Neurospora crassa OR74A: one gene and its partners. The protein of the gene in region 2 interacts with the protein of the main gene of each other region in a pairwise test. Links are inferred from orthologs where the notes say so. Each region holds a gene or a part of one and is shown on either strand. Other genes may lie near its edges. The genes, in order: NCU09721, NCU04121 and NCU10618.

Region 1 (10,623 bases), on a different chromosome or scaffold from region 2:
CTTCGACAAATGGTGCATCGCACAAGATCCCGGGGAGGGTTGGCGATGGACCAATTGTGGGTAGCGGTGCGTATGTTGATGGGGAGGTGGGTGGTTGCGGTGCTACGGGAGATGGGGATATAATGATGCGCTTTCTGCCTTGCTATCAAGCTGTCGAAAGCTTGAGAAGGGGCATGACCCCGACAGAGGCGGCTGAAGATGCGGTAAGAAGGATGGTGAGGAAATATCCCACTGTGCAAAGTGGGATTGTAGTGGTGGATAAGGAGGGCAATCACGGGGCTGCGGCGTCTGGTTGGACGTTTACGTATGCCTACCGAGGAGGGCAAATGAGCGAAGCGGTGGTTGTCACGGTGCCGCCGGTGGAAGGTGTTATCTCGGTTTCCGCTGATTTGTGACCGAACAGATGTGTAGTGAAATCCCAGAGCCAACTCAACCAAGGAAAGAAAACAACAAATCCATTCCGAAACGTGCTAAAGGGGGTATCTCAAGAATCGAAGCAAACAAAGCCCGCCAACTATCCAACTCGTACGAAACGAAGCATCGTCAGACCCAACATAAAGCCCCGCAGCTCATAAGGGTCATGATCCAAACAATCAAAAGTGTCGCCGAGCTGCTCACAATCTGACCTCCCGCAGCGGCATTCTCCTGGCCAGTCCCTCCCACATCGCCCCACGGAGTCCCTCCATTCTTCACCACCTCTCCCGACCCAGCGATAACCTTATTGCCCGAAGGATACTTGATATCGTAGACGGGATCATCCTTCAGCGGGTTCGGCGTGCCCAAAGCATGCTTGCACTGAGCTTGGTTCTCACTTGGCCAGTTCAGCTCGCACGGCTCGTCATATCCCCACGTGCAAATCGAGTCGAGAATGTTGTAAAGAATGTGGTTTGCGCCCACCCAGCTGCCGTCCTTGTGGTCGAGGCAGCTCGCCAAGAAGTTCATGCTGTTGGCCGCCGACAGCGGAAGCTTGTGTCCCTCTGTGTGGATCAAGTCCTTGCACTCGGAAGCGTCCAACTCCTCCGCCTGCATCTCGATGGGCCCACCGACGGCCGGCCGATCGTTGGCCCCGTGGCCCGTGACAAGATAGTTCCAGGCATCGTAGCTGATGTCGTGAGCGCCCTGGGATTGGTCAACGCGCAGGAGCTTCACGGTACGGTCGCCGTAGGAGAGAGAGACGCAGAGGTTGTTGCAGTCGACCGAACCGGGCCAATAAGCGATGCGGTCGGTATCGACTTTGCAGCCGAGAACGCCGATCGAGGAGGAGTAGCTGTCGTGAGGGGTGGCCCAGACTGTGGTTGTGGCAGCATGGGTTGCGGTGGCGCAGTAGAGAACATGGAGGGCGAGGAAGGACAAGCGAGATATCCAAAGGTTGGACCGCGTCAGCGGTGGTGTCTTGCGCAATGCGAATGAACGGGATTCGGTCATGATTGGGTTGCTACCTAAACGAATCAATCAACGGGGAAAATGAATGACCTCGGGTCGGACAGAGCCGTATAAGTGATGGAATACAACTAAGTATACAAGAGGGGCGAACCGCCGTCGCGGCGGGTTCTGCAACACCGGCTCAGATGATGCTGGCGATGGACATATGAATCCCGATTGCTGCGGAAAACGGAGGGAAGAAGGGAAGGAGAGTAGAAAGGAAAGGCCACTGACGGCCGGCATGGGGGAAGGGACCATTGGAGCATTCAACAGGGGCATTGGATGCTTGGGGGCACCTGTTCCTGGCTTGTCTTGCTTGTTCCTGGCCCGTTCCTGACGGGAAAGCGACCCTGACAATCTGCACATTGAGCTCGAGATTAACAAGCGCCCTATGTGGTCTAGCGCTGTTTCTTCTAAATCCACTGATTGGTCCTTCCAATCTTCCCCGGACTCGTTATCAACAGGGTACTTCCTAGTCCAGAGTGAAAGGGCAACGAGAATCCCACCAATCGTGGAAAAAAAACAGATGGAGCAAATCCTGCTGCTCGGAATTGGAACTGCACATCTATTACAATAGGAGGTGCAAAATATAAGAAGCACTCAAAAAATTCGATCCACCCAGGGGTCGAACCTGGAACCTCCTGATTCGTAGTCAGACGCTCTGCCATTGAGCCAGCGGACCTTATTGATGATAAGACGGTCTGAATCATGTCCATAAGAAAGGCTTTGTCTGTCGCCCCTCGTCGCTATACATTCTCTCTCTTTGTACATGATCATACGATAAGACACTTCGTCGTAGTCGTATGTTACTAGCTTCTGGACGCTTGTTAAGTCCTTTTCTGAATACTAACATATCCTAGTTTCTCTGCTTTACGGTTTGCTGGGGTTGAATCAAAAACACCGATCTCTGCGTGAATGTTAAATACTTTGGCGGCCGTTACAATGATGCAACTGGCGAAGAAGTTCCTAAATCATCACCAGCAAGGCGGCAATTCTCAGTGACAGTCCCTCATGCATCTTTCCTCTGTGACAACCTTTAACACAAGTGTCCTTCTCCTCCGCGACAGAAGGGTCCGTCGTCTCCACGTGCGTTATCACCTAGACTTTCTTGACACTCTCCATCGTTCGCAAAGGCTGCACTCGCCTGGTCCTCCCATATATACATTTGGTCTCCCTTACCTTGACACCCCCTACGGATCGGGGTCGGGAACTGGCGTGGATTTCGTGGGCACGGGCTAGAAAGCGGAGACTCGGACCTTGTAAAGCCTCGCCGGCTTTCGCACCGGCTTGGATAGAGGTAACCTCCTTGCCGCGAGACTTATTGCTAAGGGTAACGCCCAATCTTCCCGTAGTCTCAAGCCCGGCGCGAATTGGCTTAACCTGCGCCCTGATGCCGTCCCGCATCGCTTTGCTATCTGACACTCCCGTTTCCGCGACGGGGTCCTGCTCTTCCCAGAGTAACTTGAGTTCGCTGCGCATTCGTGTCTCTGTCTTTTGCGAATATCTAGGTTTGTTGGTCCTGGTAAGTCTGATCGGGCTGCTGGAAACGGCATTACCGGACGGGATCGTCCAGACGTCAAAAGGTCTCGTTCGTAAGAGTCATGAATAACTCCATCGGCGCCGCCTTCGGCTAGGACAATGAACTTTGCCGGTTGAGGATAGCGGCATGTAGTCATTCTGCTAGCGGTGAAAACGCAAGAGGCCTGTTGAGTTTCGGAGATTGGGACGGCCGTCTACCTGAGCCCCAAATCCCATGTACTCCTCAGAGACTCGAGAGTGCTGGCGAAATACCGCCGAAGTGATAGGGAAGCCCCGATGAGCGAAAGCGAGAGGGTGGGCTAGGATGAGTGAATTGACGGCGATAATGCCAAGAGACTCCGAAGGCCACCTCTAAGGTATACACCCAAGGCGATAAGCCAAAAGCTCAGCGAAAGCAACTTCGATGCGGAATTAGTCCGGCGCAGGACAAACAATTGTGTCATTTCTTGTCTCCGAACAGGCACGGAGATGTAGCAGTAGTTAGACATAGAAGCATTTCGGACACTCGATGTTGACTTTGTGCAGTGTGTTACAGTTGACCTCGAAGAACTCGGTCGCAACCACAACCCAAATATATAAAGGGCTAAATGGGAGCATGTCCCTCGCTCTGTTGTCGTCGATTATGTGAGATCCGAAAAACTCAAACACACTTTGTTGTCAGCAAAGTTCGATAGAGACACTGGTCACTATGGGTGACTAGATAGGTCCTAATAGTAAACGATCGGCTTTGGGACGGTCAAGCTTTTGGTGATTATTGTAGCTTTTAGTCCTGTTGAAATGACAATTGTAATCCACCACTAAAGGGATCTGACGACGATGAATAGAGAGCAAAGCCATAGGTAATCGAGGTCATGACACGAATGTTGCACGAGAGAGAAACCGAAACACGGGGGACAGGCCCCAAATTCACGAGACGACGAAGAGCCTAGTGTATCGTATCTATTAATTTAGCAGCTCATTGCACAAGACAAGGACAACAAAAACTGCTTAAACAAGGCGCTAGCATGTCCCATCGCTTTTAGCCCAGTTCCCTCATCACCAACCCCAACTACCATGCTATTATAGTGACACCATACTCATCCAATCATGACTTCTTCCATCAGAACAACCCAAGCAGATCCTCGCTACCTCCACCACTCTTGGGAGGAGTCTGACTAGCCGGATGCCCCAGCTGCTGACCAGGCGGCGGCGGCGCACTCGTCCCGCTAAGATCCATGCCTGCAAACGAGCTCATCATGTCACCCATCCCGCCTGCAGCAGCCGGCGAAGTTGCAGCAGACGCCGACGGCATGGGCGGTGGTGCATCGAAAAGCCCCATGATATCCGCCATGCCGCCACTGGGTTGCGGTGGCGCACCGGGAAGACCACCGACGTTGGCCGGGCTGCCAAACCGATCTGGTGTGCCGACACCGCCACCGTGCTCTGCGCTGGCAGGAGCGCCGCCGTCAAAATCGATGTCGAGAAGATTCTCAACGTTGTTCTGCTGGCCACCTTTGGCAGCAGCAGCGACTGACGCGGCAATGGGGTTCTCGGCGGCGTTTTGGCGCTGTTCTTGGATGGCGGCGCGCTGGATCTCGTCGGCGCCGAAACGGCCCTTGCCGACGAACGACTCGGGAGGCTTGTGGTAGACGGAGGCGAGAGTGGAAAGCTCGGAAAGAAGTTGCTCGAGGAGGACGGGAGGGAGGGATGTTACTGTTGTCGTGATGGCGGGCTTTTGAGAGAGAATAATGCTCTATGAACGCAAGTTAGTCAATGTTTACATATTCAGGGGGTAGGAATTGTGACAAACCTTGGCAACATCGAGATCGCCAGAGAGGAGACGCCAGTAGATATAAGCACGGTCTCTGATATCGGGGTTGTCGTTGTCTGCCGTGGCTTGCTGGAGGACCTTCTGTACTAGGCCTTGGGTGTTGCTGGGTTTCTTCAGGAACAGCTTGACCACAGCGGTAAGAATCTGCAATTGGGTCTGCGTGAACTCTTCCAAGAAACCCTCGACGAACCCTTCCAGAATTTCATCGGCGTTGTTGATTTTCTCAGCATACTCTCCAACAATCCAGATCAAGGCACCCCTGGCGTTGGGCTCATCTAACTCGTCGATGTACTTGCAGAGAGTCGGAATGACACCTTCATATCCGGGATACTTGCGGAGGATGTCCTTGATGACGACAATAACCTCTTGCACAACATAGTTGACCTTGGTGGAGATTAGATCAAGCAACGCGTTGACGCACTTTTCGCTAGCGGCCTCAATCTTGATGGCGACCTGACCGATGGCCTTGACAGCTCTCCGGACGAAATCCATGTCGACTTCAAGGGCATACTCCTTGAGCTCGGAAAGTAGTTGATCAAAGTTCTTGTCGTTTGCTATCCTGACCATGATTTCAAGCTTCTGGAGCTTGACGTACGGGGGGTCGTTGTATTTGCAGAAGAATACCCTCAGCTCCTTGCTAAGAATATCGGGATTGGCTTGCAGCAGAAGGTCAATGTTGCGCAGCGCGACATACTGAACCTCAGGAGCAGAAGCGATGAGCGTTACCAGAGGAGGAGCCATCTTCTTCAGGTAAGCGCTCACTGTCTTGGGGTTGAGAGCCTTCATGTGGGTAAAGACGACCTTGACGGCAGCCAAAACCACGCTGGGGTTGACGTGTTGGAACTGGGGCGCTACTCTTTCGCAAATGTGTTCCGATTCCTTGACGTCATGGGCAGTGTACTCGGCTAGTGTTGTCAAAATGGTGACCCTCCCCCATTCCGTGCACTCGTTCAACGCCATAAGCAGCTTCTTTAGGGTCGCGGGTGTGAGGACAAGCGCCCTGGTCTCGGGGGCAGTTTCGTGGATTTCGGACAGGGCCTGGACGGAGTTGGCCACAACCATGGGATTGGGATCACCAATCATCTCTTGCAGTGTCTCCAGGAAGCCGTTCTCGATGCACATTGTGGGGTTGAGATCGAACAGTTTGGCGACACAGATGGCGGCGGTCTTGCGTACGTAGGGGGACTCGTCTCGTAGCGTCTTTCGTAGCGGCTCCTCCATGTAATCGATCATTTTGTCGACACGGATGCAGCCCATTGTTCGAATCGCCAGCGCTCGAATGAGGGGGTTCGGGTCTTCCGAGTCTTGTACGAATGTGTTGACGGCTAGAATGCAGAGATCGGGATGTGATTTGGCGTAGTTCCTGGACTCAGGGGTTAGCGTTCGTTCATGAAGGGGCCAGAGACGAGGGCAGCTGATGCTCACATCAAGTAGAGATACACCAGCTTCTTCTGGTCAAGGTCGGAGGTCGCAATGTTTTTGAGGACGTCCGGGAAGAGCGCCGAAACATCCTTGCCCAGGGTCATGGCCATGATGGTCTTCTGGATGGCTTCCTTCCGCTCGTAGGCATATTGGGACACAAGGCCGGCTCGCAGCTCGAAGGTTTCGCCCTTGCGCGGCGGCGCAAACGCACCCCTAATGCGGTTGATAGCTGACATTGCGAAGGCGTTGCTGTTCTGCGCGCTCAGGGAGGACAAGCAGTGGTGGAGGTGCTGACAAGGTCGAGATCGGGCGGTGAAACCTCGAGCTTTGACAAAGGAGATGGCGCCTCAACGGGTGGTCGTGGAATGGCGCATACACGGATGCTTTGGTATGTTGATCGCGTAGGTACCGGTAGTCGTGAAACAAAAGTGCAACCTGGCCGGCTGTGAGGCAGCGTGCTGTTGTCGAGGGCGTGCTCCAGCTTTGGATCAGGTCGCCGCGTCGTCGCTGGTGTCAGGACGGGATGGATCACGACGATGATGTGGACGGGCAGATGTCCAGTGATAGGTACGCGCTGAATAGCGGCCACTGTGGTTCAGCTGTGGTTCAACTGTGGTGTCCTCCAAGTCACTGCAGCGACAGGCCAGAGCGTCTTGGCGTGAACCTTGTTGTGAGTTGCCCCACTCACAGGGTCCTTCATTGCTAGCGAGGTGCCCCGCCGTAAAGGAGAGCTTCAGCCACAGTGCCGTCTTTGGGGCATTCGATCCCATCTGGCAGCTGTGGCTTGGCACTTGGCGACGAGGACGATGATGATGGTTGTGCTTGGCCGTGACGACGGAGGACCATCCACTCCCAGTACACTGGAGAAGCGACTGATTATTCGGCGATATTGCAGCTTAGACACATCCTCCCTTTTTTACTAGGACTTAAATCACCTTCCCATATCTTCAAAAGTACGACCTATCACCAGCATCAACGTCTCAAGTGTCAACTGGCAGAGGCGAAACAATGGTAATTGTCCACAAGACTAACCCTCATTGTTGAGATCCCCTAAACATGTTGCTAAGACTGAGAACCTTGAATCACAACAGGCCAACTTTCCCAACTTGCGTCGCCTCTTCATCGAGGCCAGGACGGACAGTGAAGAAAGAGACGTGTCCAGAAAAGCAGTACGTCATATTCCGGTGCTGCTGTTTAACCCCAAGACCACCTAACATGATACTACTAGTTCTACAACGCCGTCCTGTTCCTAAGCTCCGTCGCAGTCTTCAGCTTGATAGCTCAAAGAATGAACGCCACAAAGTAATTCCGAAACTGAGAACCTGCCTCCAATGTGCCATATTCTCCGCCCATTGCGTACCTTGATAAATAGTCATACAAAACCAAAAGGGTATAAAACATCTCGTTGAATCGTACACGCCCATAACATAACCATGAAGAAGTAGTGGTGATCCAAGACACTGGGTCTTGCTTGCTCCATATCAATCACCGTGACTTAATCAGACTCGCTCTCAGAGCCCAAGAAAGCGAAATCCGCCCTGTGCTTGGCTGGGCCTCTCACCCTTGCCTTTGGCTCCGCATCTTCTGAGTCGTCCTCGTCCTCGTCATCGTCATCTTCGTCGTCCTCTTCAACTTCATCATCATCATCGTCTCCATCTTCATCACCGCTACCCTCCTTTTCGGCCTTCTTCTTCTTCTTCTTCTTTTCCTTCTTTTCCTTCTTGTCCGCTCCATCCCCACTTTCGTCCTCTTCCTCTTGATCTTCAGAGTCACTTTCAAGCTTCAGACTCTTCACCTTAGCCGCCGCCCTCCTCCTGGGCCTCCCGCCATCACCCAGTCCCCAGCTCTTCTCTCCGTCCTTCACGGCATCTAGCTCCGCCTCCAGTTCCCTGCGCATCTTGATTTCCTTGGCCTTGGACTCGGAGAACCGCCCGGTCATGCCTATGTCGGTGAGCATGTTCTTGAGATGCCTGATCTTCGCCTTGGTGTCATCACCGTACTTCTTGAGCTCGATTGGCCAGATCTTGCGAATGCCGCACTTGAGTAATTGGCTCTGGAGCTGCTTGATCAGGGCTTCGTCAGGAGAGAGGTCGGCGGATACGGACTTGGCTTTGCGGCCTTTGCTGGTGCTGCTGCTGGCGGCCTCCTTGGATTTTCCGCGCCCCTTGCCGCCACGCTTCGGGGGCTCGTCAAAGACTTCAGACATGGAACTTTCGCCATCGTCCTTGTCCGCGGGCGGGGCGTTGGTGGGCTTGGTTTCGGAAGAGTCTTTAGCGGCGCCCTTTTTGGGTTTAGCTTTCCGTTTGGGAGGTTCGTCGATGACTTCAGAAAGCTCGCTCTCGTCGTCTGAGGCCGGTTTCGTCTCCTTCTCTGCCTTTGTCACCTCGTCTTTTGTGTCCTTCTCCTTGGGGGTTTCGACATCCATGGCATCCGATAGCTCACTTGACTCGTCCTTATCCTCCAGTCCAGCCTCGTCGATTTCGCTAAGCAGGGACTCTGCGTCGGATGCTTCGACCTTGTTCTTCGCAGCGGCAGTCTTCTTGGTTGGTTTGTCCTTGGTAGCCTTGGCGGCGGGTTTCGCTCTCTTCTTAGGTCTTTCGGACTCGCTCTCCTCGGCTTCCTCTTCGTCATCATTGTCATCTGATGACCCCTTCCTCTTCTTGCCCGTTGCCTTTGTGGCTTTGCGCTTCTTGGCCGGCTCCCCTTCGGATTCGTCGTCGTCGTCAAATTCCTCCTCTTCGCTATCCTCGGGATCGCTCAACTCGGACTCGGACTCTTCGGAAGGTGTCGCCTCCTTCTTTGCGCGCTTCTTCGCAGGTGCCTTGGCTTTGGCGTTGTTTTTCGGCTTCTTGGCGTTTGGTTTCGCTGGAGCAGCCTGGTCTGGTTCTGCCCCGTTGGATTCTATCTTGGCCTACGATAGGTACACGTCTGTCAGTAATTGATTATGGTCTCTCCTCGGTGCTGTTCAATTGAGCCATCAAGATGACTACTTACGAGAGTGTCCATGACAAGCTGCTTGCTCTTTGCTTTCCAGTCGCCATCTTTGAGAAACCCTTCGCCAAGTTTGAGCTTCTTTTCGACAGCTTCGCGCACAGCGTTGACGGTTAGCTCTTGCGGACCGTGGTAGATGCGGCGCACGGCATCTGCGATCTCGGTCTTGATTGTCGCATCGGCGACCATTTTGCGGGGAGGCATGGTGATGTGACAAGATGCAGGTCAAGTTCAGGTTGTATTTTCGGTGCCGCAATCAGAATGAATTTCGGATTTCGGTGTTGAGGATACTTTAAGACGGAATACAGAGATTCGGAAAGCTCTTCAGTAGTTTGACAGGTAGAATGCGATGAATGACGTTGGTAATCGCGTCCTGGTGAACGTGTCTGCGATCGAACAGACGCGAACAGATGGGGCCGGTGGGTTAGATGTGGACCCAGACAATGGCATCAGACAAGGGTCTTTGATGTTGGATAAAAGCGGTTGGCCCAAGCGTTTTGAGAGAGGTCTCCTAAACCGGTAGGCCTAAGGTCCGTGTGTAAGTGCTGCTATACTGTGCTCGGCGACATGCACTGCAACTCGGAAGTTGAAGTCATCACCGTTCCCCTTTTTGGGCTGAAGCATGCCCCAGTTACGCTACCCGTTGGATACTATTGAACCTTACACTTGATTAGTCCTTCCATTTCCTGTATTTACTTACTTCTATTATGCCGCCTTTGTCCCACTCACGAATCGAACTTTGTCGATGATCCATATGCATGCTAGCGTGTCTCTAGTATGGACCTCTTGGTATTTGCTGGCTGCAGCTTATTGCGCTCCTACGTTCTTATGCTCGTTCAAATTGTCCAGGTCTCTCTTAATCTTCCACCTTTGGGGTTACCATCGAGGGTAGCGGCGTCGAACGCAGCCACCGAGGTATTTGGGATCAGAGGATCGTTCCGACGAGCGGTTTTGGAGGACTGTGGAAGGCTCCCCAGAGCTGAGTGAGCTACATATACATACATCGATAGCTGAAGCCCCATGAGGGTACCGCCGCCTTGAAAGATGGTTGAGGATGGCTGAGCGAAAACACACCACCACAGAGTGTCACCGTCCATTGCAGAATGCATGACAATCTCGTCATTTCTCAAGAAACAACAGTAAGTTTGGAATCGGCACACCCAAAGAATGCCCTCCCTTCAACAAGGGTACCTCTGCCATTGACTACTTCCTGCTCTATCCCGCAGATGACGACTGGGATGCCCATTCCTGCCAAGTCGTCTTCGGGTCAGTATCTCCCAGTCCCATGACCACCCCAAGCCCCTGCCCAGGTGCCATACTCCCATACTTCCCATGCCTTCCAGATTCCTCTGAAACAGTTCCGTCGCCATCCACAATCCCTACCTCTCCCAGATTGCCCAAATCCTCATCTTCCACGGCGTTTCCTTCACAGGATGAGT
Region 2 (10,543 bases):
CCGATCAATCACCGGACGGCCATGCTGCCATGCTGCCACAATGCCGATCCCCGGACCCGTCGATGCCATGACGCCCGTGGACGGGATACGATGGTTGGAACACTGGATGCTGTGCTAACGATAAACAGAGAAAGATCTTCAGCGCTCAGACGTTCCAGATTCTGCGCGGTCGAAACGATGGTAGACGTGGTGGATGGTGGTGATGGTGGATGAGATGTGCTTGCCCAACTCGACAGTTCGTTCACATGCTGTTTTCCCATCTTTCCGTCTGTCGCGCGATTCTTGATCCAAATATCTTCAGTATCAACTATCGATGACGGTTCCATTCGACATCTTTTCGGACGTCCTGCCAAGCAAAGACATTACAATACACTACACTACATAACAACAACTGTGAAAGGCTGGGGATCTTGACTGTCCAACTGTCAACCCGACTCCTAGTGTACCTGGTGCGCATGGAACTTGTGAGGAGAGGATGGATGATGACGACGGGAGGACAGACAAGGGACCACAAAATAAAGTGGTACGCTAACACAGCGAGCCCCTACTAGCGCACGGTTCCGGCGCTTGCAGTGGATCAGACGGGGATCTGACAGCCAGGGACTCGTGTGGGTTCATCCAATCAACCTCTAACCTTCCAATTCTGGGGGACACGGGGACAGGGGACGGACTTGGGCCTTGCGGTCTTCTCTTGACGGTCGGTCTCTTGTCTTTCGTCCTCCAGACCACCACCCACGCTCTTCTTTTTCGACGGGAGCACCGGCGGCTGCCCACCGAACCACTAAACATGCAGTGTTCCCTCTCAAGTGTCCTCACCAGGGGCATCCACGGTCATCCAGGATGTCTTGAACGTCAGGGATAGTACCTAGTGTAGTACCGCGTAGCGCTACCATACCCTCCATGGTCTCTACCATACTTTTTGAGTACGTACTCCCCAAGCGAAGTGTGTGAGTGAGTGCGTGTAAACATGGGTGAGCGTGTGTCCCTGTGCCGCCGTCCCGTAAGAGCGTTGCGTCTCTCTGGTCCAGTCAAACGTGTGAATGGGACTGCTTAATCTATTTAGCCCTCCAAAGCCGCCGCTCCTGGGCAGATGATGGAGGGTCAAGATCGACATACTCTTCTTCCAGACCGATTCTCATATATCTGCCATCTGGAGCCTCCTCCTCGTCCTCCTCCTTCTTCTACCGACCTCCTATTTGATCTCACTAGCATATTCACTGGTTGGATTATTTCTTTGAGGGTCGTCTTTCAGTTGTTTTCTTTTTGGGTTTTCTTATATCACGGGTTTCCTGGGTTCTGTTCGTCTCTTAACGGGTTTCGACGATTTCCTATTCATCATCATCATCATCATCACGATACCCAGTCTCGGCAACAAAAAGAACCACTGGTGGTTATTAGTTTTCTTTAGGAAGGCGGCTTTCATTATTGGACAACGACAAAAAGCAACAACTTACTTGATCATCTTTCTCAATCACACTACACAACAACAAACACAACATCACAATGCGTGCCTCACTATTCCTCTCGGCGCTCAGCGTCTCCTCCATTATGGCCGCCCCACTACTCCCTGAGATCAACGCCCACTCAGCTCCCGCCGACTCCCTCAAGAAAATATCAGAGTACTTCAACCTCCTCGCGGTCAAGATCCAACAAAGCAAGTTCGAGAGCGCCGTACCAACATGTGATCTCTCCAAGGTGGTCATGCCCCAAGGTAAGCCTCTCAGCCCATCCCCTCTCATTCACCTACCTGAGCTCATACTAACAAAAATCTCACCCTCTCTCCAGCTCCCTCTCCCCTTCCACCTCCTTCCTTCGGCCTAACCCTCCGCCACGTCGCCCTCGGCCGTGGCACCCAAAACTACACCTGCGACCCTTCCACCCCCACCGCGGCTCCCGTCGCCAATGGCGCCGTCGCCTCTCTTTTCAACGCCTCCTGCATCGTCTCCGCCTACCCCGACATCGGCGCCATGTTGTCCACTGTCTCCCTGAACTTCAACCTCTCCGACCTCGCCTCCATCGCTTCCTCCGTCGCTTCCGCCCTCCCTTTCCCTCCTTCTTTTCTCAAACAGACCCTCGCGCCCACCTCCGGCATGGCCGTCTCAGGCGCTCACTACTTCACCAACGCATCCACGCCCTTTTTCAACATGGATGCCTCGCAGTGGAAGATTGGTGAGGCGCCGTGTGCCAAGAACAGCAGTACGCCTGCCCCAGAAGCGGCGCCGAGGGGCCAGCAAGGGGAAAAGGCGGTTGCTTGGTTGAAGTTGGTTACACGCCCGGGAGCGACGGGCGGACTGCAGGAGGTGTATAGGGTAGAGACGGCGGGAGGAAGCGCGCCCGAGACGTGTCAGGGGATGCCGGAGCATTTCGAGGTGCAGTATGCTGCTCAGTAAGTCTTTTTTTTTTATCTATCCCTTCAAAACTACCTCATGAAAACTTTGTAAACAAAGACGGGACGGGATGGTGGCTAACATTGTTGGAAAAATAGGTACTGGTTTTATGGCAACTAAAAAACTCTTCTGGGATGTCACTCAGTGACTGAATATCGGATGTGGAAAATCAAACCAAAAACAAGCACCAAAAAAAAAGATACCATGTATTTTATGGAGGAGGCATCTTCTTCTTCTTCTTCTTTTTGTTTCTTTTCTCTCCTTTGTCTTTGTTTCTCAACAATTTTTCATGTGCAATCACTTGCATATTTATACCTACCTACACCACAAAGAGGGCGTTAATGGCGGCGCCAAACAGGCACATTGTGTTGGATAAATGACAGATGGATAGCACGAGCTATGGATATAAAACTCTTGTTAGTAATACCGGGCTGACTGCCTGATCATCAACCATGGTCGGAAGAGGAAAGGGTGAGAGATTGCTGGACTTGAGTAGTGGGAGATGAACAAATAAAACCAAATGTCAACAGAGGGTTGGTGCTAAAGTGATAAGCGCAATGACCGAGTGCTTACTATGGAGATTCACAGCCTTTTGGGTGAAGAGAAGGGGATAGATAGTAACTTGAAATACGCATGCTTGAGCCCTCGGCAAACAGTCTGCAAAAGAATAGTAGACTTAGTAACGATGTACGCCTTGGCAATAAATCGGCTGCTTCGTTTTGGTTTCCTCTCTATACCTTGTCCTGTTTCTTGTCGGTACTCTGTGGTCTACCCTGTAATCAAAGGGTATGTGACTTGACCATTCAATAGCTAATACGTTAACATTACGATCACTCTTTCTTCTCTCTCCCCTCTCACCCTTGCTGCCCCCTCCATAACTCATCCTTCCCCATCGTCCATTCAAGAGGGCTCCGTCCAGTTGACCAGATCCAATACCTGTCCCGCCGTAGGGTGTGTATATCCTATCTTGAGACGTAGACGCAAAGCCTGTGCACAAAACTTGTTAGCAACTTTATCTAAATATGGAAAAAGGACATAAACTGAATTGAACCTACCCCAGTGCAACCCGCGACTCTCATCATTTGCGTCGCCTCCGCCCCCGGCGCAATATCCGTCGACGAAATATTGAGCAGCTGTAGCTTCTGAGATTTGGGCACCGCCGCCTGCAACCCGACAGCCGAAAGCGGACCGCCAGGGAACGAGTTGCGGAAGCGAGCCGTAGCCTGGATCATGCCTTCGGCATTTCGCTGTATTTGGATGGTGACGTTCAGTCCGTTGTTGTCGTAGCAAGCATGGCCGGCCGCAGCAGCGGGCTTGGGCGCCGCTTGAGGAGCCGGAGCCGAAGCGGCGGCCGGAGTGGTGTTGAAGAGATCAAGGACTGCTGATGGAGCAGCCGCTGGTGCAGGTGCGGGAGACGGAGTGGAGGTAGGTCCCTGCGAAAAGAGATCCATGATCGAGGCAACGTTTGACTGTGCGGGAGCCGGCGAGGCCGAGGTCGGAGGCGAAGTGGTGCCGCCGAGAATATCGGCAAGGAGGTCGGCATTGTTCGTCCCGCCGTTGGGAACAGAAGGAGACGGGAGATTGGTGTCTCCCATGAGGTCGAATAAGAGATCCTCTTCCTTGGGCTTGGCAGCCTTGTTAGTCTTCTTGCCCGCCGCCTTGGTGGTCTTCTTGGCAGCTTCACCAAGTACTCGGGAGGACTCCTTGATTTGAGGAGGAGGCATCTTCTCAAGCACACCACGACGGATCTGATCAAAAGAAAACAGGTTGCCGTATTCCACCGCACGCTGTTGAACTTCGACATCCAGACTTGTCTGGTGGTACTGAAGCAGACGGCGAACTCTCTCGATTTGGGTTGCGTCTTGCAGCCTAGTGGTGAGCTTGATGAGTGCCGTGATGATGTACTCGGTGGTGACTTGGGTAGCGTAGTTGCTGTTCAAGATGGTTGTGAACAAGTCGATAAGTTCATGCTCCTTGACCTCCTGTACGAGCTCCTCCTCCTCATACTGACCACCCCTGAGAAGAGCGTCGCCATATTCACCGATGCACCACGCGCCGGCCTGCGTCAGACTTTCTTGGGTGATATCCTTCTTCAAGTTGGTGTAAAGCTTTTGCACGGCGTACGTTTGTAGCTCGGGAGTCGTAGCGATAAGGCGAATGAACGAGGACAGGATGGGCTCCTTGACGTAGTTACCGGCCAACGTCAAGACACGGAGCATCGTATCGACATGCCACCTCTTGTTCGGGGCGTACCTATCAGCGGCGATACCGATCTGGCTAGTCATATTAGGCTTAAACTCATTATCCGCCACTTCCAGGAAAGCCAACAATTCTCGGATAAGGACGCGGACGTTGCTCTCGTTGATTAGGGTGAAACTCAGATCAAGAGCTCTCCTCCTGATACTGATGTCGGGGTCCCTAAGGCACTCCAAAATGGTGTTCCGGTGTCTTTGTACAGCGTTGGTGTCGATGGCCACCACCTTGACCAGCGTGTTTAGCGCAACATAACGGATATTGTTGTCCTTGTTAGCCAAGAACTTGCCGAGGATGTTGACTCCCAGCACGCGCAAGCCGGCATCGGCCTCGATATCGAGAATCGTCAGTACGGCCTCGTAAAGGATCGAGTTGCCAACGTTCTTAGTAGCGTCGGTGTTGGTCGCAACCTGAGCGAGGATATCGTTGATCTGCTCCGTAGTCTGAGCATCGCCGCGGGCCAGGACTCGGAGAAGGCGCAAAATCTTGACCTGCAAGAACGGGTCGGTGATGCCCGTAACGTCGTGCTCCGGCGCATAACCGGAAGAAGCCAGTCCTTTGAGAGTCCTCACGAGTACCGGCACGAACTGCCTGAACTTCTCAATGATGCCCTCTTCCCCACCCTCGGCCTCGTCAGCTTCACAAAGGCTGGTCACCAATGTCAAGCCGCAAAGCAACACGCCATGGTTGCGATCCGATAGTAATTGCGCCGCCTTCTCGACAAAGTGTTCTTGGAGATCCGGGACCTTTTTGCATATGCGCATCGCACACAGAGCTGCCTTGCGCCGGATGTATGGGTTTGTCGTCGATATAAGTGTTTCGATTTGGGGAAACAGGTCTCTAGACATCTCGACCGATGCGATGTTTCCGAGGGTGCAGAGGGCGAGGCCCACCACATACTGATTCGAATGGTTAAGATCACTGTCGAGCCGAGCGTCAGCATCACGTTGCGCACCCATAATCGTCTTCCTGGGCACCATACTTTTGCAATGAGTTGGTAACCAGAGTAAGCACTTCCTGGTTTTCGTCGAGCAGCAAACTTGTCGCGAGATGGCCCAGACGCTTGTCGGCGAAGCGCGGAGAGGCCAGGAGCTTCAAACACTCGATCTGACCGAAGTGAGTGCGCTCACCGAGGGTGAAGAGGTATAATAGCTTGGCCACATTGTTGCGCCTGCAATGACACAGTTGATCAGCAAACCGAGATCCCGGGGAAGCTTGGGTATTGGCAGCTCAGATGCACCTGACGCTGTGATCGTGGCTCTCCTCCCTGAAGCTGGCCCTTATGGCGGCGCTCTCTTTCTGGATTACGGCTCTCTCGTCGGCGATGGTCTTTGCGGCTCGGACATTGCGAATAAACTGCTTGACTGTTTGCCGATTACAAGCGTCAGTTTTGGCCTCGTCCTGGTCGCTCGAGGCTTGGGACCATGGCGATGCCGGTGGCTCACTTACGGGAACTCATGGCGATGCAATCATTAGGGGCCCGCAAGGGGGCCTGTCTAGGGGATCTGGACCAGAGAGGAAGTGGTAGCGGATGCTTGAGCTCTCGAGATGGCGGGGGAGCTGCGGAACGGAGAGCGGATGGCGGTTCTTTGGAATTTCAAGCAAGGGGTATCCGAAGAAAGTAGAGGCACGCAATGGACAAAGTTACGATACGGTAAAGCAGCGGTACGTAGACATTCATGAGAGAGGATCATCTTTTTGGGAACCCGGCCGAAACACGACAAGTGGAAGCCCAGCACACAATGGGCGGGCGTGCGATGTGGCCATGGAATGCGCTTATTGGAGCTCCTCTTGACCGTGTGTGTCCACCCCCCACCTTGACTTGACCTCTCCCAGCCCGCTCCCAGCCCCAGGCAGACGGTGACGGTCAGCACCACGGCAGCAGTAGATACCTAGGTAGGTACACTAGAGGTAGGTACTACAGTACTGGGACTCGTGGCCTCAGGCAGGCACCTCTCTGCTGCAAAGCTTCCCGGCAACGACGCGACGGCAGGCGCCAAACTCTCTGAAAAGCATGGACCTCAGGGACCCTGGACAGGTCACGGTGCTGTTCCTCAGCTGCGATGCAACGACTCGGTACGGCGGGAAGGTGGGGCCTAGACCGTCTTGTCAGGCACCCTGACGGCCTCGCCGGAAAAGGGGTAATCAGGGTTAGGGTCAAAATGATGAATGTCCTGTCCGAGACCAGCCACAGCATCAGACATTGCTCTTCTTGATACCTACGTAGGGCGGCCTTATCTTGTCACCGCTTAGATCTGTGAGGATGAAAGATGAATAAGAGCATGAGTTCCGTCAAGATTTGCATGAGACGCCGGCGATTTGTTGAAGAAGGAAGGCTAAACACATGTAAAGCTTGTTCAAGTCCTGAAGAAAAGTTAATAGGCTACTCATCATCACCGTCAGTGCTGATTCTGTACTGGACCAGTCCTGAACACATCGAGCATGAGGGCGACAGCAATGCTTAACTATTTGCTTTTCAACAAGACAGCAATGAGCGTTTGTCAACTGACAAGCTCGGCCATATGACAATTGACTGTGCGAATACTGTATCATCGAGCTTCAGTTTTGGGGAACATGCGGTTCATCTATGGTCACAATACTGATGAAATTGACGAGGGCATCACAAGCAGCAAACAGCCTCAGCGCAACCTACAGCCATCACTGACCGACAATGACCTGATCCTCCATACATCAACGGTGATCGGGAGATGAGTTGATTTTCTAGATGCTGTGCCGTACGGATGTGTACGATATGGAAATCCCTATAGGGCTGATGATATCCACATATTCGGCCTGGGCTTGATGGTTGATGTCGCTAGGCAACACTGCCACAATCATCCTGCAGGTCATCCCCACTCGTTGACAGGTCTCCGGTCTTGCTGGTGGTCCCTGATGACGTGAACTCAGCAGCTGTGCATTTGAAAAGTTTATGTAGCAAACAGTAGGGTTTCATCTGAACCTCCGGACGGAAGTGCTCCTTTGCTCATGTGGTACAGCTTCCACTTGGGAGACAACACCGTGGGTAATGGCTCCTCACTAGCAAAGGCGGAGTAAGATTTGATTGATAACTGCTTTGGAGACGAACCGCCACGGACACAAAGTCAAACGGAGAGAAACTTGAGGTGCTAGCGTCAATCCATGTCAACTTCACCCCATTGCTTCCCGAACTCGGTGGTTTGAGGCAGGAGGAGAGGTAACAGTCCAGCATAACGCGCAACCACGAGAACACAGGTGATCCTTGCATAACATACCAAGCGTGGGAAACAAAGCGATCCCTTCACATCCGAATGGAGGCATATCAACTAATAGTGGTATTCAAAGAGAACGCTAAAACCTGTCTTCGTGTAGAGTTGGAATATAGGAGAAAGCCGTTTACTTCTGCATCATGAGCTGGACGAACTCGTTGTCTGTTTGGAAACAAGGTGTTAGTAAGCTATACCCAGGCTGAGTCGCATGAATTGAAGACGTACAGTCGATACGCCCATCGCCGTCCTGGTCGGCCTCACGGATCATCTCATCAACCTCGTCATCAGTGAGCTTCTCGCCGATGGAGGTCATGACGTGACGGAGCTCGGCAGCGGAGATGAAGCCGTTGTTGTCGCGATCGAACACCTTGAAGGCCTCACGGATCTCCTCCTCGGAGTCGGTATCCTTCATCTTTCTGGCCATCATGGTAAGGAACTCTATAGGCTATTGTCAGCGGCGAGCTGGCAGGTCCATAGTCCGAAATGTTTATATCATACCAGGGAAGTCAATGGTGCCGTTGTTGTCGGCATCGACCTCGTTGATCATGTCCTGAAGCTCAGACTCGGAGGGGTTCTGGCCCAACGAGCGCATGACGGTACCGAGCTCCTTGGTGGTGATTTGGCCTAGCTGCTGTTCAGTATGCGTGCATTACGGTAGGGCTCGTATTCACATCGCAACTCGGTTCAGGGGCGGGCGGTGAGAAGCGTTGGGTGCGTCGCAACTACTATGATCCAAGGCGCTTGCCGCTAACTTGGTGGTGGATGAATTCGGATATCTGGGGGGGTAGGGTTTCGGAAGACTAACCATCACCGTCCTTGTCCTGTGTCACGTTGTGTCGGGTCAGTCATCAGGCTCGCACGATTTGCGCCAAACGGCGACACAGGGGATTGAGCATAGGCGACAAGGAAGCTCGGCGCAAGAAAAACAACTTACAAAAAGGGAGAAGGCCTCCTTGAACTCAGAGACCTGCTCTTCAGTAAGGGAGTCCGCCTGTTGTTGATAGCCTTGTCAGTCACCCGTCTCCTTTCCAGCCATCATCGTATGTTCGCAGCCCGGCCGCAGCCCCTCGAGCTAACCCGCGGGGTTCTTGTTGCGCTCAAACAGATTCGACCGGGAGGCACCGAGATAAGGAATGAGCATACCATCTTGATATAGTATTAAGGGGTGGATAGAGGGTCTGGGGAGAGCGAGCGTGTGAGATAGTTGGATGTGTTCGAAGGAGGATTTCGAAGGTGTTCTGGTTTGGAAGTGGTAGATATGGAGGTCCCCCAGTAGAAACGAACGAGACCCGTTGGCTACCTACCAGGTAGGTCCAAGTCCCCGTTCTCCTAGTTCGACGTTCCTTAAATGAGCAGCTGGGCCGCCGATTGCGAAGCATGGAGTGGAGGGAGGCGGGGCGGGGTCCCTCCCTACCTAACTGTAACACACTCGCTAAAATGAGACTAAAACTAAAGATGCCCTGGAGCCCATCCCGGCGTCTCGCAGGTGCTGCAACCTACCTGGAACCTCTGCATGGGATACATCACCACTGGAGGTGTAGGTCGTCAGCCCCAGCCCAGGACAGACGGGCCAGACTGTTAACAGGCTGAAAGCTCCCGTCCCCCAGGCTGCCAGCTGACCGACTCTTTGAGACACTGACAAAGGCTACCCCTTATTGGCGGGCCCCAAGTGCCTGACAGGTGACATGCATCCCATGTTATTCATGCCCCCCATCCCTGGAACTGGCCAGCATTGTGTTTCTGAACCGCCGCGTCAGCGTCATTGTCAGTGGTAGCAGCTGCCCAGTGCTACTGGCCCTGTTGCTGTTATTACATAGGTAGGTAGGTAGTGAAAGAGAGAGGCCTAGAAACATTTCCCCCCGGGAAGATCGACCAGGGACGGAGACATTGGCAACTCAACCTCGACCACATACACAGCCGTGTCCATGCGATGCGATGTGATGCCATACCCATTCCAATCCGCCTCTGGACCGCCATTACCACTAACTACCATCAATTGACTCTCACCTCTGACCGAGACGACGACTAGCCTTCGGCGTGCAACCGAGGTGAAGGGAGCCTTTCGCCCTTCCGGCGTCCGCCATGTGGCGCGACCGCACTAATCTGTACGGGGAACTCTCTTGAACCCCCCGGAGATGAGAGTCGTTCGTTAACATCCATGTGACTATCACAGCTATATCTCGTACCGGCAGTCCTACGCCCACCACCCGACCCAGCGCAACCGATATGCCCCTCAGAACCCAGGCGACCGCTTCGGCGGGACTTCCGGCGGGGCTGGCAGCAGCACGGGGGTCCTCTTCTCTGCCGACGATGACCGGCGCGGCCTCTTATCCGCGGGGGCCTACGATGTCGACGACGGCGATGCGGTGATCGAGATGGACCTGCTTCCGCCTCGGTGGGCGGATTCGTCGGACGAAGTGGCGGAGCTGCTGGCCGACATCGCCCGCAAGAGCCAGAAGCTGGAGCGGTTGCATCAGAAGCACGTACTGCCGGGGTTTGACGACGACGAGGCTAAGAGGGACCAGGAACGTGAGATAGAGCAGCTTACGCAGTCCATCACCAAGGGGTTCCACGACTGCCACCGCGTCATCCAGCGCATCGAGCAGATGGTGCGCGAGGGCAAACACAATGGCCAGATGAGTCGCGCCGACGAGGTCA
Region 3 (10,695 bases), about 3.3 Mb from region 2:
TTCGGCGTCCGAAGAGGTGGGTGGGGGGTTGGGGATGTAGGGGAGACGCATTTTGGTGGGTGGGGTGGTGGTGAGTGATCTGGTGGTGTTGGTGAGTGGTGACGACGGAAGTCGTGTAAGTCGTGTGTAAGAGGATGATAGCCGGTGTGGTAGTGAACTACGGAAGAGATGTTTGAGGGAGATGGACATTGAGTGTAAGATGCAGAAGGGAAGAATAGAAAGAAGAATACGGATAGAATGAAATACAAGCTTGATGACTTGACAGCTGCAATGCACGAGTACTGTGGTAGTATCATCGGCTTGTTGAAGCCGGTGACGCAGGTCCGTACCTGGGGGCCGGCGGTCGGCAGCGGGGGTTGCGGGGAATCTCTTGCCCGCCTGTCTGCCGCTCGGAAGGAGGGGTCGGCAAGTGGACGTGGGCCCGGAGCATCAACGTCAACAACTAAGCCAGCTGATGCGAGGTACCGGCCTGAATATCACAACCTGATCGTCAAAAATATGCGGTTGGATGTTCGAACACCGAGGTATATGTCTTTGACTTCAAATCTCATCATTCGGACTGGCCGTGAACGCTATGATTGTCTAGCCGCTTGGCCGTTGAGGAACATTTGGTCTCATTTGATGCTCTGAAACAGATTCGGCAAATACAATGGGAGATAATATCGCAGTCCGAAGCCGCAGATCCTCCAGATAGTGGACAGGTGAAGACAACCTCACAGATGGACAAAGACTTGGATCGGTTTGTCCTTGCGCAGAAAATCTGGCGCCTGTTTCGGAGTGAGTATCTCCCCTAAGTGACTTTTTGTTGTTGTCAACATATGAAGAACAGTGAAGTTTCAGGAGACGGTAACGATGTGACATTTGTGCAAGTCGAGTAGTTGATCAACGTTGATCTCGAAATATTGGTCAGAGTCGAGATCACTCACCAATCGGCCGCTCATGTGTTGTTGATTCAGCGGCACAGTGTTAACAATATTGCCCTGTGCTTACCTACCCTGTGTGGAGCTCTTAAGTTGTGAAAGCTTGGCACTTTTCCTTTCCCAGCAACAATGTCCGGTGCCCCTCTGCCCCTCCAGCGCAATGTTTGGCAGACAAGGAAGCCCACTGCCGCCAAAACAAAAGTTCGCGATAATCAAACACAGCCCAGGGCACAACGACACAACCTAACCGAAGCGCAACAAACCTCACCAGATACTACCACTCAATCGCACACCCAGCCCTTTACGACGTTGTCAACAACAACAAGTCTGCCAGATTGATGGACCCCTCTCCTCAATCACCCCCCACCAAAAAGCGCAAAATGGCGACCTCAACCTCAACTTCTACCGCCGCCCCCGCGGTTGTCGAAGAACACCAATTCCCCCTCCCGCCGATCCTCACCCACCCCTCCGCCGCCCCTCCCACCCTCATCACACAAGGCGCCGAAGGCCGTCTCTACAAAACAACCTTCTTCTCTCCCGACATCCCCTGCGCACTCAAGTACCGACCCCCCAAGCCCTACCGGCACCCGGTTCTCGACGCCCGCCTGACCAAAGCCCGCCTCGCCTTCGAGGCCAAAGTCCTCGAGCGGTGCCGGCGCGAGGGCGTTCCCGTGCCTGCCGTGTACGCCCAGAACGCGGCGGCGGGCTGGATCGCGGTGGAATGGATTGAGGGTGCGCCGGTGCGAGTGAAGATCAACGAGTGGTTGGGGCAGAGGCCGAAGAATGAGGAGGAGGAAAGGTCAGCCGCGGAGCAAGATCAAGGACCGTTGATCGAGTTGATGAAGAGGATCGGGGCCGCGATAGCGGGGCTGCATAGGACGGGTGTGGTGCATGGAGATTTGACGACTAGTAATATGATGTTGAGGCCACACACGAACAAGACGACGAGTAGCGAGCAGACGAATGGAGTGAGCAAAGAAGAGGAAAAGGCCAAGTTGCTGGAGGGAGACGTGGTGATCATTGACTTTGGCTTGGCGAACCAGAGCCAGTCGGACGAAGACCGGGCGACGGATTTGTATGTCCTCGAGAGGGCGTTCGCGAGCACACACCCCCGGGCGGAGAACCTGTTTGAGCACTTGCTGGAGTCATACAAGCAGAGCTTCAAGAAGGGAGCGTCTGTGTTACATAAGTTGGAGGATGTGAGGATGCGTGGGAGGAAGAGGAGCATGATTGGGTAATGGTCAACACCTTTTTTTGGCGACAACAAGGCGAGAAAAGATACCCATGGATTTATACACATACAAGAACAGTTTTGCTATAATGATGAGTTGGAACAGCGGAGCTCGCGCGCTGGAAAGGAAAGTGAAGTTGCAATACATTCATGCAAATCGAAACGCCATTTTCATAAGCAACGAAGACAACGAACGCAATTGGTATTAATATCAATAGAATCAGAATGCCTGCTTGCCTGCCTGGCCACCCGTCCCATCCAAAAACTCCCTTGGACCCAGCTACACAATATGCAGCAGCTATATAGGTCGGTTTTGTATGCGGTTCTATTACCCCCCCAAGTATTTTAGAGCGAGTGCCTCAGTTCAACTCGGCACCGGCAAAGTATCCCTTATTCTCAATCACGCCCCTATTCTTCACCACAGCCGTGTACTTAATCACCCATTGTGGCGTGAGGTTTCCCGTCAAGCCGCCGCTGCCCGTCGCTGGGTCAGCCAGAAGCCCAGCACCCTGCGGGCCCAGGAGTTCCCTCAGCGTTCCCTCGGGCAAGATGTCCGTGCAATCGCTATGCACCAACAACTCCACATTTTGTTCCTTAGCCAGCGTCGCCAGCGGCGGCGGCACGTTGCAGCAGTTCTTGAGGTTGATTTGGTCCACCGCCGGCGGGATTGCCACGCGCTTAATGAACCGCGCCAGCTTCTCGGTGCCAAACTCGGATATGCCTAGCCTTTTCACCAGTCCCTGGCGGTGCAGCTCCTCGACGGCCGCCTGCCAAGTCGCAATCTCGGACTCGTCGTCACCCTGCGAAGCGTTCAGCTTGTCGGCCTCCCACTCGCAGTCGCCGTCGAAGGACATGCCCGGGAAGGAAACGACGAGCAGGTCGACGTCTGGGATCCCTCCGAGCTCTTTGAGCACTAGCTCCATTGCTTCGGTTGTGTATTGCGCCCGCCTGGAAACGTCGGGCGTTGTAGTGGGCAGGAAGAAAATCTTGACGGTAATGTCGTACTGCGAACGCTCTTCAGAGAGTGCGGCGGTTTCCCAGTCGATGCGGGGCACGAAGATTGTATTGTTTTTCTGGTCTTGCGCCGTCCAGTAGAGCGGGCCTGCTACGGGGTCGGTAGTGTTGCTATCGCCATTTGTGGCTTCGTGGACGCCATTGCTGGTGCCATTGGTCGTAGTCGTCGTCGTCTTCGTCGTTCCATTCGCGTTCAGGTTCTCAATCTCGTCGGCGTAGTCTAGTTGCGCATCTTGGAAGCTGACTTTCAGAGAGTTTACGAGTTCGAGGTTGGATGCGCCGGGCTTGCGAACAATGGAGGGCCCGCCGGAAATGATGTTTCTGAAGGAGAAAAAAAAGTTCGAGCACGCAATTAGTGATTGGGTCTAAGAGATGGCTATCTTGCCTATTTTCGAGCGAGGTCGCACAGCTAGGGACAAGAGACAAACCATATGGCCTGCCCTGCCCTACACCATCATACTTGAGACCGGAGCCACACAATGAAGAGAAGGACGGACATACCCGGTAGAAAGTATTAACTTGGTCATGACTGCTAAGGATGTTGACGACCTTTTTTTTTCTTTTCTTTTGGAAATGGGTAGAAAAAAGTTAAAACGCTGGCCAGGCGCAAGACGAATCTCTCTACCTCTTGAACTTTGGACTAGATAGTGGGGTACGACTTATTTGGTTCAATGGAGCCTAGAACCGATTATTAATGATTTACTGGCATGGGTCCGGGGGTGGTTCGATTCGGGAGTATGAAGGTACCTTTTGTAAGCTTGTGATGATATGTATCACCACAAACGCCGATGGTAGGGTGGTGTTGCCAGAGATAGGCAGCTGTAACGACACAGGGGAACATCAGTTTGGAAAAGTATGAATATCCGTCGTCGACCAAGAACATAACCCAGGATAGAGGTTAGACGGAGTTTTCGCAATGTGGGATGTCCGCAGACCATAAATCGGAGAGGTCATCATCCGACTCTCGGATTTTGACCTTGCGCTAGGTGAAGCATGGCTCTACACGCAACTCCCAGGGAAGGCGCCATGAGCAAGAACAAGTGCGGACTCTCAAGCAAGTTTGTCAGAGTCGGAGATGCACGTCGCGGACATTGCCGAGAATGTCAACGGCAGCTATGCCAGCTTCGGCATCTGATGACTGTCGGTTGCGTTCTCAACCACACTTTGGTGTAGATATGCGCGGGATGCCGTAGAAGGAGAAGAAAGCAACAGCCAACCAGAAGGTCTGACAGGAACGGGATGTCTTGTTAGGTGAGGAACTGCCCGGTGAACGTGGGGAGCCTTGTACTTCTCCCACGATTAGTAGGTCATGTTCGCTTGTTGCAGCCACCAACACTGAGGAAGAGAACTAGTTGAGTCATGCCGGCAGAAGATGATAGAAAAATGAACCAGACGCCCGCTACGACTGAGGGGGTTTAATGAGAAAAGGGCTTCCCTTTTGATCCGTCCTTGAGATTTTGTGTGCGTTAAGTGGTTTGCCCAGCAACATGGGATCAGCAGAAGATAAAAAGTCAATCAACTCAATTGTCGTTAGGTACATAGACAGTTAGACGATCAACGAACTCCCATGTTAAGCCTCGATCAACTCAGGAGCACATCATCCACTATAAGACCACTAAAGAAGCCTCTGAAAACGAGAAGTGCCAGATGCACTAATAGTCTCTAGGATCGGGTAGAGCCCCACTTGCCTTGGGTCTGGTTCTTCAGGCACATTGGACGGCCGTCGTCCCGCCCCTTTGGACAGCTCCAGGCGGGAGGAGTCCAGGCTGTCGGCGTGGTGTCCTTGTCAAATTTCCCGCCCGTGACAACACCTCCATGATCACATTGTCGACTCCCGCTCAACGTGATCCCGGGTAGTTGATGGAATCATCGTCATCATGGCTATTCAGTATGCGCCCGACAGTCGCCATCTTGCTATTCACAATGAAGTCAAGCTGACCCGGAGCTCTGCAGCTATCTAATCCTCCTCTCGCGCCAGGGCAAAGTGGTGCGTCTTGCCCGCCGCGGGCGTTGCTCTCGTCCCCAACCACGCTGTCCTTCTCCCGACTAACCGCACGTCAAATATCCAGCGCCTGGCCAAATGGTTCACCACTCTGTCTCCCAAGGACAAGGCCAAGATCGTCAAGGACGTTTCCCAGCTTGTCCTGGCTAGGAGGACTCGCATGTGCAACTTTCTCGAATACAAAGGCAAGCTCCGCCAATTCTCCTGGATCGCAACATAGGGCTAACTAACTGTCTTTTTGCTCGTCTGCAGATACCAAGATTGTCTACCGCCGATATGCCTCGCTTTTCTTCATCGCCGGATGCTCCTCCGAGGACAACGAGCTGATCACCCTCGAGATCATCCATCGCTATGTCGAGCAGATGGACAAGTACTACGGCAACGTCTGCGAGCTCGACATCATTTTCTCCTTTACCAAAGCCTACTACATCCTCGACGAGCTCCTGCTGGCGGGAGAGTTGCAGGAAAGCAGCAAGAAGAATGTCCTACGATGCATATCGCAACAAGACGCCTTAGAGGACATGGAGGTGCGTACAAGCATTTGACTTGGAGCCGTGACCGCTTGCCCGGACAGAATTTGCCTTCTTCCCGCGTCGCTACGCCTACACGCTCCCCCCCCCCCCCCCCCCCCCCCCCCCTTGTTGCAATCCCTATCCGTAAACCACCGCGCTCACTGACACGTTTATTGCACTTCCTCAGGTCGAGGATGAAGTCACAAAGATCATGTAAAGGCTGATCAAGCTTTGTGGTGTCTTTTTCTCTCCATCATCACGACCGACCGAACCGGGTCCCCTCAAACACTTGCGATTGCCAATGGTCGACATTTATTTACCCCAACAGCATACGCTAATGCATACCTTTACCTCCTGATGCAGGATTTGGAAGAAATAAACAACGCACTCAAGCAGGCCGGGATTCTCTGAAGCTGTGGTAGCGACCACAGTCCCTCCGATAGGTGACGGCACCGGATGGACAGACGAGAGGGGCGACCCGAAGCACGAGAGTACAGCATATGCAACCAGGGAGGACAATAATAATCGCGCCGAGAGAAGGGGAAGCAGAGTGTGGTGTGGTGGCAGGAAGTCGGGGCTACAGTCACCCATTAGGAGGGAGCAAACTCCCTTTCCTTAATCATATAGATATGGGCATTGTAGATTAATGAGCTGCCAAAACTGAGCCACTCGGAGACCGGATACACCACTAGTGTCCTAATCATGGACGATGATGGGAGGAAACCAAGTGGAATGCGTATCCGGTACACTGGGCATGGCCTCGGCGATGTGCTTAATGATAACAACGATTCAACGACGCGTTGCCAACACCGATCCATCTGTTCATGACCTCACACATCGGGTGTATGCGCAGAAACAGATCGATTCGCTCGGGAGACGTTGGGGTGGCGTTACCTTGATGCCCACCAAGGAAAGGTTTGTCCACATCGACGTTGGAAGCAACGCTCGTGGAGGGTTGAGACGACTCTATTCGTCAGGTGGTTGTGGTTGACAATTAACATTGATGAGCAGCATTCAGGCCGGGACACACATTGACACACAGGAAGTGGAACGCACTGCGATTACTGACTGGAGGCTTCCAGGCGGAACGGCGGAGGGGAGTGAGTGGGAATGGAGACTTGGTGGTGACAAGGGAACGCCGATCACTTAGGGGGTGCGACTCCACCCGACTCGAGGAGCCAGCGGCGCATGACCGGGGTTTAGGCGGGTCGACCCCAGCAATCCCCAGCGAGCCAAGGCCAACGTGGGCTGGCGCAAGCAGGCCACTCACCCGAAAGGCCACCCACCTGTTACTGTCAGCGTCAGCGAACCGGCTCTGGCCCTGATGGCACGGCTTGGAAGGAACGTCAGATAGGTAACGAGCCATCGATGGAAAGCGAGACCGCAGCCGGGGCACCAAGGGAACATATCAATGACCAACAAGAGGACTGACTGGAGCCAAGCTGAACACAGAAGAAGCATGATGGCTGTACACTCACTATACCGACCCGATAACCGGCGGTCCCCTTGGATTCAATTCGGATGGATTGGAAAGAACATCATACACTACATGTATGGGATTTATCCAAGTTGTCCCTCCTCCCACTTTTCCCACTTTTTGTTTCCCAAACTGATCTGAACCTCACTTCAACTAAACAGCAGGACATCACTCGATATATGACGATATCGTCACCCCTATTTCTCCTCACGCTAAACTTACATCAACATCAACAACATCAAAAACCCCACTTCTAACTATCTACTGTGTACAACCACCTACACCTTTTCACTATCTGTACTCGACATCGCGCTAGACATTATAACATCCCGTGTCCCTGTCTTTGTTCATACCTAAGACTTGATCTGGGAGTTGATAGGCAGGATTTCCATAACCGCTTTCCCCCCGAACTCACGGACTCGTCGGAGGACCTAGATTGGTCACATCATCCCCCGTTTACCACACCCTGTTCCCACTTCCTCCGCACCGCCTTTTCCGACGAACAACAACAACAACACCCATAACATACAACGTTTCGCATCAATCTGTTGCGCCATCACGGATCGACCCGGGATCAAGAATTACTGGTTGACTCTCTACAAACACTAATAATATCCTTGCGGTAACTCACCTCACATTCAAACAAGTCCCATCTGGCGATCGCTCGACCCCTCCCGCTTCCAACCAACAACCACAACGTTTGCGGAGCTGGGCCTGCCACTTGTTCATCGCCTTTGTTGCAACTCTCACCGTCTCCGATTTATTCGTCGCACCACTTTGCGAATACCTATCATCTTTATCACTACCCCAACGGCCAAACGCCTCCCGGCTTTTACCACTGCCTAATTGTCACATCACCTTCACGAGTCGCATGCCATCGCAACCATCGGCAAAATGAAGGCAAGTATACGTCGCACCGGTCGAACCGGGCACCGCTACCCTCCAAATACCAGGAGTGGTTGATCGTCGAAAGCAATATTGACCCTTTCACAGTTTCTATCTCTTCCTGCGATAGATGTTGTGACGAGCGCCCTGAACTTCGACACACCAGACTGTCACATCACCGGCAGCTGCGATCTATACACCACCAAGGCTGCGGGTTCCGACAAGCGCCTCTACAAGAACATCCAACAGTCCCTCCAAACTCAGCATGACAACCTCATCAAGTTTGGCAAGTCCCTGTCACCACCACAGCGCGATTCAATCGCCGACACCGTCAACTTTGAGCGGTCTTCACCATTCGGCTCGCTCAACGAAAAGGCCAACCGAAACACATACGCATACCTAATAGCCACTCTTAATGCGTCGCATCCCGACTACGACTTCTCCAATGTCCTGCGACCCGACGACTTTAAGCGCGAGAAAGAGTTGCGCCGCGTCATGGCCCACATAGATAGCACTCTGCAAAGCGTGCGGCCCAATTCATCTTTCCTAGACGTCACAATCCCTGGCATGGGCACCTCGCCCGCCGCCGCCTCGAGTTTCGGCTCCTCAGGCCTCGCCATGTCACCCGTCTGGGGCCCTGGCATGTGGGCATCCATCGATAAAGAGATGGATCTCAAGGACTGCTCCATCTTCTCGTACCAACCGGCCGACGCCCCATTTGACGAGGAAGAAGGCGCCATTTGGGCCCTCCACTACTTCTTCTTCAACAAGACTCTCAAGCGCGTCTGCTACCTTTACGTGCGCGGGATGCCGGTCATGTCCCATAGTCCGAGAATACCGGGTCACCACGCCATCATCTCGGCCAAAGGCGGGCTTGTGCGGCCGCGCAGGGCCCTTTACGGGATCGACGAGGAGCTCGACGACGCCGGAGCCAACAAGCGCGCAAGGTACTGGCTCGGAGACCAGTTTGCCGAGCGCGTCATGGCGGATGACGACGACATGGAGGCCGATGATGGTCTAATATGGAATCGCGATGCTGACGGTGACGTCAACTGCAACTATCACGATGACGATTATGATGACTATGATATTGAGAGCCTGGGGGATTATGACGAGGACGAAGACCTCGAAGACGCGGAAGAAGATGACCATGACAACAAGAACACTAATGGTGGTCGGAGTCAAGCTTCGGCCGCCAAGGGTGGATGGCGCTCTGAGAATGTTCCGTACCGGGGAGTCAGTGAGGATATTGCGTCGAGGATGGAGATTGATGTTTAGACGATGTCAATCCCATTCCGCTAGTCCTTGAAGACCTAGGACGCTAATGACAGTCGTCGAGGTGGCCGTCATGTTATACACGCTAATCTGCTACGTTTTTGCTCTTTTTTGTTTTTGACGACAGCCTCATTGCGCGCGAGCCTACGGGAGCGTGAGAGGCTCCTGATTTTCGAGATACCATGGTGTTGGTTCGCGCTCGCATTTTCTTCTCTTGTTGGTGTCTTTTTCCCTTTTCTCTTTTCTTACCTTTGTTTTGCGTGTACATGGTTCGTTTTCTTCATTGATCTGCCTTTCGTTGATTTTCTTTCCTTCCACTTTTCTAGCAGCACCCGTGCTGTATCACTGCTTCCACGCACAACATCACATGACAATGGGTATAATCTGGCTGGCTAGCTTATACATCAACACGGGAAACGGTAGAATGTTTCTCCCTCAATGGGGTTTGGGTTAAGACATGGGTGGGAGGCATGGATTGACTCAAAACATCCGCCTATGAAAGTTGGCCAGCAATGCATTGGAGAGAGTTCACGACGGCGTATTCGTGTGCTCTTTGGGGATAACTGTGGGAATTTCGCAATAACACGTCTTTTGCTTTTTTGTGGGGTTTGTTTTCCTTGTTCGAGTATCTATGGCTCCAAGGAAATAGTCGTGGGGATTGGATCATTTGTCCTGGGTTTTCAGAAGGTCGGTGAGAGAGACTACAATTCTGGATAACGCTCCGGGTGGATAGCGGTATGGTTACGTTTACGGCTACGTTGCTCTTTTGCTGCTATACTTACTGACTTTGCGCGGAGTACTTTCCAACTACTCTATTCTACTCTTACTACTGAGAGTAATGCGGGTTTCCACGAACAATGTCTTTTGTGACGAACGGAAATGGTTCAACACAAACAATCAAACAGTCTGTGTAATGGCTACTGATATGGGGTTTTTGCGCCTTTCAGATTGCTACAGACGGGAAGCATCTACGAGAATAGATGAGGACAAGCCTGACAAAGGGCAACGATGATAACGACGCTTAGTGTGGCATGGCATGGCATGGCAGGGCAATACGACGGAATGACTACTCTACTGAATTACGTAGTTTTAATAGCTTTTGATTTGCAAATTGAGTTGCTGTAACAGAAAGTATTCTCAGCACCTCGCAACGGAAACACAAAGCATGAATAAGTAGCTCCTCGGGTAAACGTTTCGAACATGCTTGTGGTGAAACATTAAGACGGAGAACGAAAGGGGGCGTGAAGTACCCCATTGTATACCCCACTATCACACAGCATTGAGGTGCCACTGAAGAAGCAGCCCTTGTCCCCAGTCAGAGAGAAGAGCGATGACGACAGTGCCTCCTCCATCGGACTCGTCCCGGTATTCCGGCTATC

What was found.
Region 1: the proteins of NCU04121 (region 2) and NCU09721 interact in binary tests that used the Saccharomyces cerevisiae proteins (3 or more experiments, as listed by UniProt). The link is inferred for Neurospora crassa OR74A from reciprocal best matches to the Saccharomyces cerevisiae genes APL4 and APL2.
Region 3: the proteins of NCU04121 (region 2) and NCU10618 interact in binary tests that used the Saccharomyces cerevisiae proteins (3 or more experiments, as listed by UniProt). The link is inferred for Neurospora crassa OR74A from reciprocal best matches to the Saccharomyces cerevisiae genes APL4 and APS1.

Annotation. Positions count from the first base shown.
Region 1 is NC_026507.1:1,358,444-1,369,066, reverse strand, and holds NCU09721 (AP-1 complex subunit beta-1), read right to left. Parts: upstream 6,798-10,623; 5' UTR 6,430-6,797; coding exon 6,197-6,429; intron 6,135-6,196; coding exon 4,751-6,134; intron 4,694-4,750; coding exon 4,061-4,693; 3' UTR 3,812-4,060; downstream 1-3,811. Other genes in the region: NCU09718 (n(4)-(beta-n-acetylglucosaminyl)-l-asparaginase), read left to right, coding at 1-395; NCU09719 (hypothetical protein), read right to left, coding at 544-1,425; NCU09720 (hypothetical protein), read right to left, coding at 2,521-2,913, 2,979-3,098; NCU09722 (hypothetical protein), read right to left, coding at 7,689-9,104, 9,188-9,388. UniProt on the Saccharomyces cerevisiae protein: Adaptins are components of the adaptor complexes which link clathrin to receptors in coated vesicles. Clathrin-associated protein complexes are believed to interact with the cytoplasmic tails of membrane proteins, leading to their selection and concentration.
Region 2 is NC_026505.1:4,909,929-4,920,471, reverse strand, and holds NCU04121 (AP-1 complex subunit gamma-1), read right to left. Parts: upstream 6,402-10,543; 5' UTR 6,100-6,401; coding exon 6,090-6,099; intron 6,005-6,089; coding exon 5,881-6,004; intron 5,812-5,880; coding exon 5,623-5,811; intron 5,562-5,622; coding exon 3,443-5,561; intron 3,375-3,442; coding exon 3,288-3,374; 3' UTR 2,899-3,287; downstream 1-2,898. Other genes in the region: NCU04123 (hypothetical protein), read left to right, coding at 1-213; NCU04122 (malate dehydrogenase), read left to right, coding at 1,504-1,711, 1,786-2,386, 2,486-2,507; cmd (calmodulin A), read right to left, coding at 8,013-8,047, 8,111-8,323, 8,384-8,509, 8,691-8,706, 8,820-8,876, 9,029-9,031; NCU04119 (SNARE complex subunit), read left to right, coding at 9,968-9,990, 10,059-10,543. UniProt on the Saccharomyces cerevisiae protein: Adaptins are components of the adapter complexes which link clathrin to receptors in coated vesicles. Clathrin-associated protein complexes are believed to interact with the cytoplasmic tails of membrane proteins, leading to their selection and concentration.
Region 3 is NC_026505.1:1,560,934-1,571,628, reverse strand, and holds NCU10618 (AP-1 complex subunit theta-1), read left to right. Parts: upstream 1-4,601; 5' UTR 4,602-5,042; coding exon 5,043-5,053; intron 5,054-5,118; coding exon 5,119-5,152; intron 5,153-5,234; coding exon 5,235-5,352; intron 5,353-5,419; coding exon 5,420-5,694; intron 5,695-5,866; coding exon 5,867-5,896; 3' UTR 5,897-6,998; downstream 6,999-10,695. Other genes in the region: NCU04594 (4-carboxymuconolactone decarboxylase), read right to left, coding at 1-189; prk-11 (serine/threonine-protein kinase BUD32), read left to right, coding at 1,259-2,158; NCU04596 (gamma-cysteine synthetase regulatory subunit), read right to left, coding at 2,511-3,486, 3,667-3,692; NCU04597 (mitogen-activated protein kinase MAF1), read left to right, coding at 8,051-8,056, 8,150-9,319. UniProt on the Saccharomyces cerevisiae protein: Component of the adapter complexes which link clathrin to receptors in coated vesicles. Clathrin-associated protein complexes are believed to interact with the cytoplasmic tails of membrane proteins, leading to their selection and concentration.